Arabidopsis thaliana: one gene and its partner. The gene in region 1 interacts genetically with each later gene. Each region holds a gene or a part of one and is shown on either strand. Other genes may lie near its edges.

Region 1 (7,891 bases):
GAAGTAAGATTACGAAATATCAATCGTAAGAAAATTGATTCGTACCAAACAATTAAAATGGTACATTGTACATACTCTCTTCCTTTTTTATTTTCTCAAACCATATTCCTAACTTTCTCTCCTCTGTTTGAGTTCAAACTCCTCATTTTCTTTGTTACTTCCTCCTCTCTCTCTCGCTCTCTTTTTTTCTTAACGATCCTCCTCTTTTCACTATATTTGATCATTTTTGTATGACTATATATATATATATATACATAAGTATTCTATATAGCATAAATATACATATATCATGCTCATCATATTATTTGATATTCCTCAAATTTAAAGTGATTTGATACATAAACAACCTTGACTCAGTTAATCAACCAAATGATTGTATTACAGTAAATACAAAAAAAATCGACATTAGTTTTCTCATAAAATCTGATACTGACAATCTACCAAGTTAATTAAGTATATTTGTGACTTAGTCACTAGGCTTCATTTTTTTTGTGCTGTTACGTCTGACTTGAAGATTCTCCACATTCACGACTAACAAAAAATTGGCTTACTCGGTACACATGTTAAGATACCTAATTAAACATCATTTACTAACTGATTAGGGGTATGTCATGGTTGGATATAAAATTATTATAGATGTGTACGTATTTGAGTTAGTATAAATAACAGAAAATAAGGACAACTGGATTTTGTTTTTTTCGTATTTGCGAAATACATATATGCTAATAATACTAAAAAAACCATCGCAAGTGACAATATTATAGAAGAATGGTTGTTGGCAAAAAAAGGAAAGAAAAGAAAGAAGAATGGTCAACCCAACAAAAAAAAGGACTAGTCTTATTTTGGTTTATATATATGTGCAGAGTGTTGTGTGACAACATATCTTAAGTCAAGCTATATATTCTATTAATTTGAGAGAACAATTGTTCTTTTTTTTTAGAACATATTTTTATTCTAATGTGTGCATTAATGATGTTAAATAATTATTGTAACTGATGTTAAATTATAATTTTTGTATTATTAATAAATAAATGATTCAAATTAGTATCATTTAATTTTTTGACACAAATTATGTGATGCAATTGAATCTCTTTTTCTGTAATGGTAATAGCTATATTTTCTTAGATAATCCACATTATTATTATATTACCATCATGTATTTCCTTCTTAATTGAACTTACATTATAGTATCGCAGATATAAACTTATGATTTCTAAAAGTAAGGTGGTACAAAATCCTTACCGCTTTATGTATTACTACGTTGTCTTTAACAATTTCGTAATCTTACTGTTTTATATCTCTTTTTCTATCTTTTTAATATATATAGTATAACTAATAATACAATTGGACACAAATTTGATAAAAATAAAAATGTATAACATAAATTTAGTCGGAAAAATCCTTCGTCAATGTGTGCTTATACAATTCATAGTTTTGGGTGATAGTCAAATATAAGTGATAAGGCTACCTAGACTTTTTTCCATTGTTTTGAAATTCAACACTTGCATGGACACGTACTCGATTATTATTTTAATTCGCTTTTAGGGATAAAGATTTAGTCAAAAGTAAACTAGAGACAAAAAATAAAATAAATAAATAGAGATAGTAGTAGTTATAGTTCAAGAACCTGACAGAAATAACAGATTAAGAATAGACCAATAATGATTAATTAAAATACATTTATAAAGTCTATCCACCAAAGACCATATAAAGATTATACTTTTTTTCGTTTTGTTTTTTCTCGTTGATAAATTAAACTCAAGATCTTGTAATGTATGAGAATAGTAAGAGTAAGGGCTGCATATAGCAATTTACATGAATTAAAGGCGCTCTACTCGTATCACCATATACTTCTATGCTTTACAGTTTACCTAATTCACCATGAACTAACTATATATATCATAATTCCACCCAAACTATTAAATTCATCACACATAGAAAATTTCAATTCACCTCTGTACATGCTCTTCAACGGCTTGTTAATAAGGGATGGCTTCAATCCGGACCCGTTTCTTGTGCGGAAATCAAACCATAATCAAGATTGTCTTTGTCGACTATGTTAATTATTTTTTTAAGGATGTGTCTTATGTACATTGTAAAAATTATGATGTTCATTTTATTTGTCTTACTTCATTGCGGAGAACATTTCCTTTATTGATTAAAAACAATAATTATATTGTTCTTTCAAGACTTAAACGTTAGAAAGCTCTCGGAAAAACAAACATTTTCCCGTGTATTAAGCTGTACGTATATGATGTTATAATTATCTCAAGAAAGCATACATATTGATTGTAAATAAAAAGAGTAGACTAGAACACATGTGTTAAGTTGAGTTAGATTCGCTAATGAGCGATCAAATTGCTTACATACAGTCATCCGTTCTATCACGCACGATATTTCTCGATAAACAACTATCCATAAAATTTAGATGTCAGATAATTTTTGTAAGTAAATTCGCAATAAACATATATATATATATATATATATATATCAATTTTGTCACCGAGGACAATGGAATTTTCTCTCATTCTTATAATATTCTCAAATGATATTCGAGAGTACATTTTAAATAGGAAGGAGATTTCGATAACGATATTAATGGAACCAAGAATTTGTTTTAAACCTATTTTTGATATAAAAAAATCTATGCATTTGTATATAATACAGTTGGGTCAATTTATAGACTAAGAAGCTCTTAATTGTTCATATTCAAGAAGACAAAGCAAGTTAAAAACCTAATTTAACAAAAGAGAAAATATTCCATTAGACTTCTTGAAAGTACTTAGAAATTTAACACGAACAAATACACAAAGCGAATTTTTAATATATTTCTCACGCTTGCAGAAATTTCCTCACAATAACCACAAAATTTCTCAGCGATAAAAAAAAAACAGTTTAGATCTTTCAAACCTACTCGAAACTAAACTAATATTCAAAAGCACGTGCTCCCTAATAAAACTCATTCCTGACCCGACTACACAATACCCGACCCGACCCAAAAACATCTTATAAATATGTTCATGCAAACTCACAAACAACTCAAAACACTCTTCATCAAAACCATTCCTCTCCTCAAAACCATTAATCTCTCTTCTCTCTAGCATAACCTCTCTCAGATGGCTTCTAACTATGATAAGCTTACTTCTTCGAGAGTAGCCATCATCGGTGCTGGTGTTAGCGGATTAGCAGCCGCTAAGAACTTAGTTCATCACAACCCGACCGTATTCGAAGCCTCGGATTCAGTCGGAGGTGTTTGGAGGAGCTGCACTTACGAGACGACTAAATTACAATCGGCTCGAGTCGATTACGAGTTCTCCGACTTTCCATGGCCCAATAATAGAGATGACACAACTTTCCCACCTTACCTTGAGATATTAGATTACTTGGAATCTTATGCCAAACATTTTGATCTTCTCAAATTCATGAAGTTTGGCTCTAAGGTCATCGAAGTAAGGTTCATCGGTGATGGCGAAACTCCTCAGATGGTTGACCTTGGTGCTTACGGCAACTTGTTGCCCGGAAAACCTGTATGGGAAGTTGCTGTTCAGATCGGAGATTCTGGAGATATTCAGGTTTGTCTCAATTCTTTAATGCTAATTCAGTCTCATATATTTGCATATGCATGCATTTACACGAGCAAATGGTGCATACGCATATTTAAACTTACGTATCTCAATGTTTGTCTCGATTGTTTTTCGGTAACTTTGAAGCCTAAGCCGGATCTCAAACTGCCATATTACTGCATGCATCATTTATGAAATATTGTATATCAATGTTTTTGTGTGCAGTGGCATGCATTTGAGTTCGTGGTTGTGTGTACCGGGAAATACGGCGACGTTCCAAGAATACCAGCTTTTCCGGCAAAGAAAGGGCCGGAGATGTTTCAAGGAAAAGTAATGCATTCGATGGATTACTGCAAGTTAGAGAAAGAAGAAGCTTCTACTCTCCTCAGTGGCAAAAAAGTAGCCGTCATCGGCTTCAAGAAATCCGCCATTGATTTGGCTTTAGAGTCTGCTTTAGCTAATCAAGGTACATAGATATCTATGTCTATTTATATAAATTAGCTTCACTCTTAATAATTGGCTGATCAAGTCAAAATAAAGATAAAATATATATACTATATAGTGATAGCAATAATTGTCTTACTTACTAGTATATATTATTTCTTTTCGGTTGGACTTGGAACGTATATGGTTCTAGTTGGCAACAATTAAACAGTTACTCGCAAGTTAATTAAACAACATATTAAATATATATCCTAAGATGACCGATTTCGATCTTTATTTAATCTGATTCCCATAATTAAATATAATATTTAAATTTTGCAGGGGAAGGAGGAAAAGCTTGCACAATGGTGGTGAGAACAACTCATTGGGGGATCCCACATTATTGGGTGTGGGGCTTACCATTCTTCTTGTTCTACTCTTCGAGAGCTTCTCAGTTCCTCCATGATAGGCCTAACCAAAGCTTCCTTAGAACTCTCTTTTGCCTCCTCTTCTCTCTTCTGGTTAGTCATCTTATTACCTTTTTCACTTCTCTATATGCAAAAATCTTGAGAATTTTATAAGTTTCTTAACATATATGTGACAACAGCGTGCCGTAGTTTCCAAGTTCATCGAATCATATGTTTTATGGAAGCTACCTCTTGAGAAATATGGTCTAAAACCAAACCATTCTTTCGAGGAAGACTATGCTTCTTGTCAAATGGCGATCATACCGGAGAATTTCTTTGAGGAAGCGGATAAAGGGATGATCCGGTTTAAGAAATCATCAAAATGGTGGTTTTATGAAGAAGGGATTGTGTTTGAAGATGGGACGACATTAGAAGCTGATGTTGTGATACTTGCTACTGGTTATGATGGCAAGAAGAAGCTCAAAGCTATTGTTCCTGAACCTTTCCGAACTTGGCTTGAGTTTCCAAGCGGTGTCATGCCTTTATACAGGTACATACACATAAAAATCGTCTTTAGATTAATTGAAATTATGTGAAAATGCATTAGTTGCACACTTAAAAAGACGATCATGCTATAATATATAGTTCTATGACTATAAACATATTCAGTGGTACAAGTGGAAGCCTATATATTCTTTTATTAGTATACTCATGAAATTTGGACCGTTGCTTATACAAACTAAATCATTTACAGGGGAACAATCCATCCATTGATACCAAACATGGGTTTCGTAGGATACGTCCAAAGCAGCTCGAACTTACACACATCAGAGCTACGTTCAATGTGGCTAAGCCGGCTAGTGGATGAGAAATTCAGATTACCAAGCAAAGAGAAGATGTTGGATCAATTCTTAAAAGAAATGGAAGTGACGAGAAACTCAAGCAGATTCTACAAACGTCATTGCATTTCCACGTTCAGCATCCAACATGCTGATGATATGTGCAACGACATGGGACTCAATCCTTGGCGTAAATCCAACTTCCTCCTTGAAGCTTTTAGTCCTTATGGTTCTCAAGATTACCGACTCGGTCAAGAAGAAAAAGAAGATATGACTGCTTAAACTAAATTGAATATATATTACAAAATGAAATTGTTACGAATTGTTGTGTGATGGATGTATAATTAATGAATAAATAAATGTATGTGTAAAGTACATGATATTTTATATAATAATATTGTATTATTGTATGACCTTGGTCAAGGATTATTTTCAACTAGTAATTATGAAATTCCAATTTTGTCCTTTTGGTCAACGAGAAGTCAATTTAGCAATCGCTTCCTTCATGACTGGAATCATCATTGAACCCTAAACCCTAATTGATCGGCCAGAAATGGAGGGTTTGGAGAAGTTTTACAGCAAGATGGTGAAAGAAGCGAAATCGGCAGCTTCTTCTTCGTCGTCTTCTCTATCTGATTTTGCGGATAATCTGATGCAAGACAAACGAGCCGCCGCCGGCAACTTGACTACTACATACGACGCAGGATCCGGCACTCTGGTAACCAGACCTCCCAGGTAAGCTGCTTCTATTCAATATTTGTTCGAAAAGAGATCATTTTGCCAGTAAAGCTAAGAACTTTTAAGAATTTTGGGTGAGTGAGTGAGGGCATGTCTCCAATTTTTCAGATTCTCTCTAATTATGGGAAGGATGATAATAATAATCACTATTTCTGTGGATGGATTATGAATTGGTCTGCCTGCTTGAGAGAAATTTTAAAAAGATGGAACAAAAATGAAAAAGAGGGCAGATTTTGTGTTATAGCTCAAAACCTAGAGACCATGATGATTTCCCAGTTCCACATCACACAGAGCTTGTAAATTTGTAATGGCTTGTTCAAATGATCTAAGATCTTAGATACCCGAGGAACAAAACTGTGCAGGTCGATTATAGACTATCTAGTAGGAGCTTTGGGTTGTTTCTGATTGATTCGACTAATATGTAATGGCTTTACGTGTTTTGTGTACTATTAGTTCTAATTTAAGAAAATTATCTGACCTATCTTGGGACTGTGTTTGGTGGCAGCGGAGTTTCGGTCTGGACGTGTTCAAAGTTGTGCGCTGTTTTCTTTGTCGCTGGAGTGTTTGTGGGTTATACACTTAAGAGACGGGTTCGACGCTGGGCTTCTAAATTACTGAGAAGAATAAAGGATGATTAACTCCAACCTCGTCTTCTACTGCAAGTTTTGGTACACTTAGCACAAAGGCATTACTCTATTCTTATCCTTGAATGTGTTTTAGTACCAATATACTGTGCTGAGGCACCTTATCAATGAAAATTTGTTGTTTGCTTCTCTGCCTTTGTGACTAGTAGCTTGTGGTAATGGAAAGAGAGATTGAATCATCTTGGGAAAGACACGTATATTATTTCGTATAGTAACTTAGATTTGTTATTTTCATGCCTTTAGGCGGGGTCTATACAAACAGGCAAGACAATGTTTCCTTTTTTAACATAGTGTATATAATCTACTTTGCTAAGTGACTGTGAAGTTAGTGTGAAAAAAAATAATGGCGGGCTGGATTTGAATCTCACTTTAGGGAAAGTGATAGAAGCTGGCTTGTAACATTGAATTAGAAATGCTCCTTATGGAACTCGAACCGTGTGGTTGTTTTTTGACTCATGTCTTGTGCTTGCTTCTTCAACTCCTTTGCCACGGTTTGTATGCCGCAGTAAAACACTCCTGCACAATTATATAAATTGTTTTCACATATGCTTCGTAATACCTGGCCTAAATATTAGCAGACATGTTCATGTGTTTGCATGTGTCATAATTCCTATTGCAAGTTTTCTTTCTTTTCCAATGGTATTAATTCGTTAGTCCTAGAAGAGAGATTTATAAGATGTCTTGATGGTAAGCAGCTGATTGTATAGAATAATTACCGACTGTCGAATTTGGATGCTTTCTTGCTATGCTACTGAAGACTTCCTTCCAGTTGGGCCTTGCAAAATGTGTTCTCACCTGTTTGAATGATGTTATTTTGTCAGTTATAGGTAATATTGGCAAATAGTTTCTGGTTATATGCCCTGCATCAATTCTTACCCGTGTTCCGGATAGAATATCAACTCCATGTTTGGCATGGTTCAAAGCCTGGACCATTTTTATCAGGGTTGATCTTGCATCACCTTCATCATATACGCTTGTAAGGTAGTTGTGCAACTCAATCTGGCCCTGTATTACGAGAAGATGAAGGAATATGTTAGTATATCGATCAATGGTAAAGAGGTGATGCAAATGAATGATATGCTGGTGTTTAGTATTACTCTGCAGTCCATGTCTGATATTTCCTCCATTACTCCTCTAAACCATTCAACGGATCCTGGCTCCCTTGTGACCCAGTAAAAGTGAGCCTTCACTGCTTTCTTTTTCCCTCCATGTGTTGAAGTTGGGGTTGCTGTGGTATATGAAGATGTACAGCTATTCCAGCTGAAATCCGATCTGCT
Region 2 (7,284 bases), on another chromosome or scaffold:
AGGGGTGGCCTTCATGCGAACAAGCTTTCCATGCTGACCTGAAAATGACTTGTGGGGAAAGCTAGAGAGTTTTCTTACCGAAAATAAATTGGAACGTAAAGGAAGAGAGAGTATAGATCCATAAGCTGATATGCATTGCATGTTTACTACTAGTGATATGGAATACATTTTCACCACCAAATTTATAGGCAAAACATAAGCGTTTTCATTAAGTCATCTTTTGAAAAGTTTTGGAAGAATGTATATTAATATCCCCATATTTATCTTCTTCAGTGTATAATACAATCTATGTTGGGACCATGATATTTTCTGAATTTATAGTGATATTAGTTTATCTTTAAATTGATATTTATTAATCTATATAGATCTTTTTTTAATTATTTAATTTTTTAAAGAATACGAGTTGACACAATTCAATATACATCAAATTAATGACTTGGATGTTGAAATTTGTGTAGTATTAGAATTGAAAATTTAATATTTCAAAAAACTCATTTGACAATAAATCACAATGACTATAACTGAATTCATTTATATAATAGATATACATACATCTAAGTTTATGATTAATAACCTCAACTATCAGATTTTTAAATGTAGTAGACTATTGAAATGAAAATAATGCAGATTAAGAAGTTGTATACTTATAAAAACTTATGACTAATTGTATTAGGAAGTTATAAACGATACTACAATATGATAGTTTTAAAACACAACATAATTTAATGAAAATTAGAGACAAAATCATTGTTTGATGTAATAATAGTTCAAGACAAACTCTAACAAACATTCAATAGTTCAAAAAATATTTAAACTATAGATTATATATATTATCGTATATATATTATATTTTTGTGGTTATTAATTTATGATGTTATTAAAATCATATTTTTTATATAGGGTTTTAAAAAATTGTTAACTTATTATTTTATCAAATTATGTTAAATTTTACATTCACACGACTTGAAACTAATATAATATTATCTTCTTGTATTTATTAATTTATCAAAAATTAATTTGTAGAGGTTTTACTGTAAAACATGTTTAGTTTTTCATTTTTTAAAAAACCTCCAAGTGGCAAAAATAAGATCCATCTCCATCTAAAAAAGTGCAAACAAATCTCCATCATTTAAAAATCAACGTTAACATCCATATCTATTGTTGTTGTTTTTTACTTCTTTTTCTCTTGGTCAAACTCTACGTTAGTTTGATCAATAAATATGACAAGAATTTTTGCAGTCTCATAGGCGTCTTTGTAAAGGTTAGTTAGCGTCTACATAATTTTCCGAAAGATATAATTTTCTTGAGATACAGTTAACTCAATTACTGAAATGTAATAACTTTCTAAAAGTTGTGGCTATTAAACAAAATTGTGAAAAAATTTAAACCAAAAGCCACTTCAAAAACAAAGAAAACCATAACCATTAATCAAAATTCTTTTTTTTTTGTTAACAAGTACTAGTTGCATTAAATTGTAAACATATGGTGGTGTTGTATATGTTTGATACAAAGAACCTATATAACAAAGGCTTGTTGGGATAGTGCATCTGCCACATTATTTCTTTTCCGATTGACATGTCCATAGATGAGTGTGATAGCTTCAACATCCAATATCGTATACCACCAAAGACTGAAGAGTAGTACCAAGAATATTTATATATATATTTATTTATTTATTTATTTTGGTAAGGAGAATATTTATATCATGATCCCACCATACTTTAATTGTTATGAAAAAATTTTAATTTGATTTTCATAAATTTTATAGTTTAGTTAAGTATAAAACCACAATTTTTTTTCTTTCAAATATTATTTTTGGAGAAAACCCCCAAATTTAAAAGGAAAGAGAAAAAATCAAATCATTCATCTTTGAGCTTTCTTTTCTTCTACAGAACCCTAATTTCATGTTCTAGGTGTCTCTCGAATGGTTCTCATCTCATTGATTACTCAATCTCTAGGGTTTAGTGGTTCATCCAAATTCGTACCCTAATGGGTGCCGTAGCGATCAATCGTAAACGCAGCGACGAATCCTTCAATTTCATTAATCAACAATCAACCAACCCTTTACGAAATTCACCGTATTTCCAAGCTTCCAAGAAACGAAGATTCTCATTCGCTATGTCTGAAGATTCTGGTAAGCCAGCGTCTTCAAACCCAACAATTTCGAGGATTTCAAGGTACCCTGATGCTAAAGCTCCTCTTAGACGAGAGATTCATGCTCCTAGTAGAGGAATTCTTAGATATGGAAAGGCAAAATCTAATGATTACTGCGAAAAGGACGCAAATTTCTTTGTTCGTAAGTATGATGATGCAAAGAGATCAGCTTTGGAAGCTTTGAGATTCGTTAATAAAGGTAAAGACTTTGTTGATTTGGGTGATGAGGTTGAAAAGGAGGAAGTTGTTTCTGATGATTCAAGTGTTCAAGCAATTGAAGTTATTGATTGTGATGATGATGAGGAGAAGAAGAATCTTCAGCCTTCGTTTTCTTCTGGTGTTACTGATGTTAAGAAAGGGGAGAACTTTAGAGTTGAGGATACTAGTATGATGCTGGATTCGTTGTCGTTAGATAGAGATGTCGATAATGATGCTTCGAGCCTCGAAGCTTATAGAAAGCTTATGCAAAGTGCGGAGAAGAGGAATTCAAAGTTGGAAGCTTTGGGTTTTGAGATTGTGTTGAATGAGAAGAAGTTGTCACTGCTGCGTCAGTCTCGCCCAAAGACTGTGGAAAAGCGTGTTGAGGTGATGAGATTTATACTAATCTTTCTTGAATTGGATATAATTAATGACATTGCTTTGTTTGGATTGTTTCTCTAAAATGCATATGATGTTATCGCCTACTGTTTGTTAGTGTAGACTGAAGATAGTACAATACTTGTTGGCTTTATTGGTTATTAAGCTGCAGTTATTACTTATGCACACAGAGTCAAAGTTCTTCTACTTATTAGAGTATATTGTAATCTTAGCGTTGAGATCGTTAGTGTGTTTCTATGTTTATTGTTGTTGTTAACACTATGTTTGTTGTGTTGTTGATATAATGAAGGTGCCTCGTGAACCTTTTATTCCTCTCACAGAAGATGAAGAGGCTGAAGTCTACCGTGCCTTTTCTGGGAGAAATAGGTATGGTTTCTTAAGACGCTCTAGCATGTTGAGTGATTTTTTTTAGTCTAACCAAAAACCAAATGTCTCCCATTTTTCAGAAGGAAGGTCTTGGCTACTCATGAAAACTCAAACATTGATATTACTGGAGAAGTTCTGCAATGCCTTACACCATCTGCATGGCTAAACGACGAGGTACAACTTGTTCCATAATATTCTACACAATTAAGAGCTCTTAAATCACATTTTCTTTTGCTGATTTCTTGTTCTGTTTTATAGGTTATCAATGTCTACCTTGAACTACTCAAAGAAAGAGAAACTAGAGAGCCCAAAAAGTATTTGAAGTGTCACTACTTCAATACCTTTTTCTACAAAAAGGTTTGTTTTCTTTCTGCTCAGATGATTTTTAACAAAAATTTGATCCTTTTTGCCTCATGTCAGTTCGACTGAGTAGCTGCTACTTGCTTCCATAAAAATGATAAGCAGTATGTTTAAGTGATCTTTATGATAAGATTATTGATATATTTGGCCTTGTTTCTCCCCATGGTACTCAGTTGTCTCTGGCTTCTGTATCCCATGAATGGCAGTGAGTAACCAAGACAAGCTGTGGCCTTCTTATACGTTGATGAATCCTCTGGCACTTAAATCTGTCTTTCTTTAATTATTTTTTTCAGCTGGTAAGCGATTCTGGTTATAATTTTAAAGCTGTCAGGAGATGGACTACGCAGAGAAAGTTGGGATATGCTCTTATTGACTGTGACATGGTAATTTTGTCGAAGAACCTGAATTTGAAGATTCTCTTGTTAATATTACGCATGTAGTCCAATTTATTTATGTTTAACTTAGTCTGTGCCCTCTGCAGATATTTGTTCCCATCCACAGGGGTGTGCATTGGACCTTGGCAGTAATTAACAACAGGGAAAGCAAGCTCTTGTATCTTGATTCACTGAATGGAGTTGATCCTATGATTCTGAATGCTCTGGTATGATTTAATTTCTAACTCTTATTCGCTTTATTTAGTCTATTAATAACTGACATGTTGGATGCATTAAAAGATATTAGATGCTGATAAATCTTTATCATCATTTCTTGATTCTGAAATCTGTTTGGAGACATTATGGAGATGCCAGAAGCTGTTATTGCTTTTTAAATCGGACACTACTGTGAAAGTGTTCTAACCATATATACTAGTCGTTATAGCTAATGCCAGATCTGATATTCTGCTTCAGGCAAAATACATGGGTGATGAAGCAAATGAAAAAAGTGGAAAAAAGATTGATGCTAATTCGTGGGACATGGAATTTGTGGAAGACCTTCCCCAACAAAAGAATGGGTATGTAACTATGCTTGAACTTGCTATGATCCATGATCATGTGAAAGGAACTATCTTGTTAAAGAGATAACCTCTGTAGAATCAGATACTTGTCTTCTGATGTGGGAATATGGGTTTTTAAGACAAAGGATAGATCTGGTTTGAGATTGATTAGGAGAAATTCACCTGATATAAATTTTGATAATGGAATCAACAAGGGTATAACTTAACTGTTCTTATGCTCTTTAGCACTCTGGTTAAGCTCTCTGCTAACTCTATATTGTTTCTTTGTTGCAATCTTTTATATTCTCAGGTATGACTGTGGAATGTTTATGCTTAAGTACATCGATTTTTTCAGCAGAGGCCTGGGGCTATGTTTCAGCCAGGTAAGCTATCAGAATCCAAATCTCTGAATGCCTCAAGAAACTGTAGTTGAGAATAAAAACTGGTTGTCTTGAAACAATATGGAATTAGTATATCCCCCTAGCAGTTTATGTAACTTGTAGGATTTAGGCATTTAGCGTAATAACATTGTATTACTTTGCAGGAACACATGCCATACTTCCGACTCAGAACAGCTAAAGAGATTCTGAGGCTACGAGCTGATTGAAGTTGCTTGTGCTAATGTTTTTTCGGCTATTAGGAATACTATTTTTGGTTGCCATTGTTGATTTGTTCAAACTTTAAATCCCACTCCTTTTAGGCAGTGAAGCACTCGGCTTTAAAAGCAGAGGTAAAAACTGAGTCAAGCCCAGAGCTCTTAGCTCGTTCCGTTATTGTATTTTTTTCCTTCTTCTTGTTTTAAAATGTAGATGAAGCGTTTTGGATCTCTATGTTGGTTAGTCTAGCTGAAGATATATGAGATGTTGAAAACCTTATTTATTTCTCTCCGGTCTTGACCAGTGCGAACGCAATTTAAAGTTTCCATCTAGTATCGGTTCGATATATTTTCCTCTGTTCAATAGCCAAAATTCCATGAATAATCTCTTGAAAGCAAATGTTTTCGATATACAAATGTTCTGCACAATTTCCCCAATACATACACGAATATGTTACAAATATACAACAAACTGCTGTTTGTGAGTACAAATGTTGACAAGGACACAGAAAAAACAAAATCCCAAATGTAACATTGACATATTAAAACCCACTCCCAAAAACAAAAACAAATTCCCCAATTCATAAAACACGAGAGGAAGGAAGACTTGTGTGTATCTCCTAACAAAAACTGACTGGAAGGCAAACTAACTTCCACTGCCTTTCCTAGCGCGGAACTCTCTTCCGGCTAAGTATCTCCTGTTCTTTCAGACGGTGTTGGAACCGAGCAAGACGGGCTTGAAGACTTACAAGACCAGCTGCTTTACGGGACAACACAAAGCTCAGCTGTGTAACATAGTTGTCAATCATGCTCCCTGGCCGATCCACCTTCGCTAGTAATTTCATTTCCTACAAAAAAAAACATGAAATAATGTTAAAACAATCACAAGACATATGAGCCATAACCTCGTGAACTATTTCCATTGTATCCTCGATCTCTTTTCTGTGTGCTGTAATTAAGGTCTCTTCTTCCTGCCAGAGTTTAAACAAAATAATTACCATATTACAGGTTTTCTAAGGTTATTCGTGAGCGATATTCATAAAATTCCCTCACGCTCATAGCATAATTTAGAAGTATAGAAGGGTCAAATGGCTCTTTACCTCAAGCAATGCATCAATGTTTTCATCAAGAGAAGGCTCCGTTGTTTCATACTGCCTTGAAGATGTATCGCTTGTGTTCTGACTGCTAGCCATATTTTGTTGTCTAGAATTTGTCATGGCAGGGACATCAGTCTTGAGAATAAGATGAGTGAATCCTTTGACTAGTGGAGCCGCCAAAAGAAGATTTTAAAATGTTAAGCATAAATCATATTCCTTAAATGTTAAGTGAATCCTTTGACTAGTATAGTATAGTGTCTGGTTTTTCATTAGACTTTCTGAGATGAGAGGTATTTCTATTAAAACTTAAGTTGAAGGTTTTAAAATGAATCAGCCAAAACTGCAGGGTTTGTTTCATTAAAATCCCAAAATTGTTTCGTATACATCATATTACCCACTGAGGACTCTGCTCTTTGTGGAAATGCTAAATTAGCCCCAAACCTTTTTCTAAGTCCCACTTTGAATTCTAATAAGAACGAACAGATCGCGGGAAATCCAAAATGATTTGAAACCTTTTCACCTGAATTTCTGTGAAATCCAAAATTCTCTCTCTATCAGTAGAGAATCGCCATGGATGAAGAGCTTCTGCTCACTAGAATCCTTGCAGGAATCGAAGGAGGAGACGATGAATCTGACTATCATGAACTCGTCACGGATCTCAAATCTCTACTTGATACAGACGATGATGAAATTCTCAATCGATTCTACGGTAGTCTCTCCTCAATGGCTTCTTCGTTTCTCCGCTGTATCTCCGCCGCCATGGATTCTCCGGTTGAATCAGGCCGTCTTGCTATTTTAGCCTCCGACGCTTATCTCAGTCTGCTTCTTTCCACGAATTGCCCCGTTTTCACTTTCTTCTCTCCGATTGCGTTTCTTTCTCTACTTGGCTCAATTCGCCGCTACCTCAAACGCCGTGATGATTCCGCCGGTCAAGGGAGTAATTCGCAGCGAGAGAAAGGGAATAAGAAGAAGAGAGGACGTGGTAAGAGGAATTTAGGGTATGAAGATGGGGAAGAGACTGAAGAAGGTGGATTTGATGCGAAATTGATGTTTATAGTGTTAGAGAAGCTTGGCTCGGTTCTGAGTTTTGTTCATTTAGATAGATTTCCTGATAGTTTGAAATCTTTGGTACAAACTGTGAGTGAGATTCCTTTATTGGCGTTGGAGCACTCTGGAGTTTT

Evidence for each region.
Region 2: of FMO1 (region 1) and ESD4, changing one suppresses a phenotype caused by changing the other (phenotypic suppression), as found in Arabidopsis thaliana (one study listed by BioGRID).

The regions. Positions count from the first base shown.
Region 1 is NC_003070.9:6,648,279-6,656,169, reverse strand, and holds FMO1 (flavin-dependent monooxygenase 1), read left to right. Parts: upstream 1-2,974; 5' UTR 2,975-3,116; coding exon 3,117-3,572; intron 3,573-3,788; coding exon 3,789-4,029; intron 4,030-4,328; coding exon 4,329-4,507; intron 4,508-4,593; coding exon 4,594-4,943; intron 4,944-5,147; coding exon 5,148-5,514; 3' UTR 5,515-5,694; downstream 5,695-7,891. Other genes in the region: AT1G19240 (uncharacterized protein), read left to right, coding at 5,786-5,967, 6,476-6,608; AT1G19230 (Riboflavin synthase-like superfamily protein), read right to left, coding at 7,021-7,130, 7,331-7,409, 7,491-7,619, 7,712-7,891.
Region 2 is NC_003075.7:9,010,780-9,018,063, forward strand, and holds ESD4 (Cysteine proteinases superfamily protein), read left to right. Parts: upstream 1-1,790; 5' UTR 1,791-1,989; coding exon 1,990-2,739; intron 2,740-3,040; coding exon 3,041-3,117; intron 3,118-3,197; coding exon 3,198-3,291; intron 3,292-3,375; coding exon 3,376-3,474; intron 3,475-3,770; coding exon 3,771-3,860; intron 3,861-3,958; coding exon 3,959-4,078; intron 4,079-4,306; coding exon of another isoform or gene 4,307-4,312; exon of another isoform or gene 4,313-4,325; coding exon 4,326-4,429; intron 4,430-4,721; coding exon 4,722-4,794; intron 4,795-4,955; coding exon 4,956-5,018; 3' UTR 5,019-5,400; downstream 5,401-7,284. Other genes in the region: TS1 (terpene synthase 1), read right to left, coding at 1-168; AT4G15885 (kinesin motor protein-like protein), read right to left, coding at 5,672-5,854, 5,912-5,977, 6,107-6,199; AT4G15890 (binding protein), read left to right, coding at 6,674-7,284. UniProt on the Arabidopsis thaliana protein: Protease that catalyzes two essential functions in the SUMO pathway: processing of full-length SUMOs to their mature forms and deconjugation of SUMO from targeted proteins. Cleaves precursors of SUM1 and SUM2, but not of SUM3 or SUM5.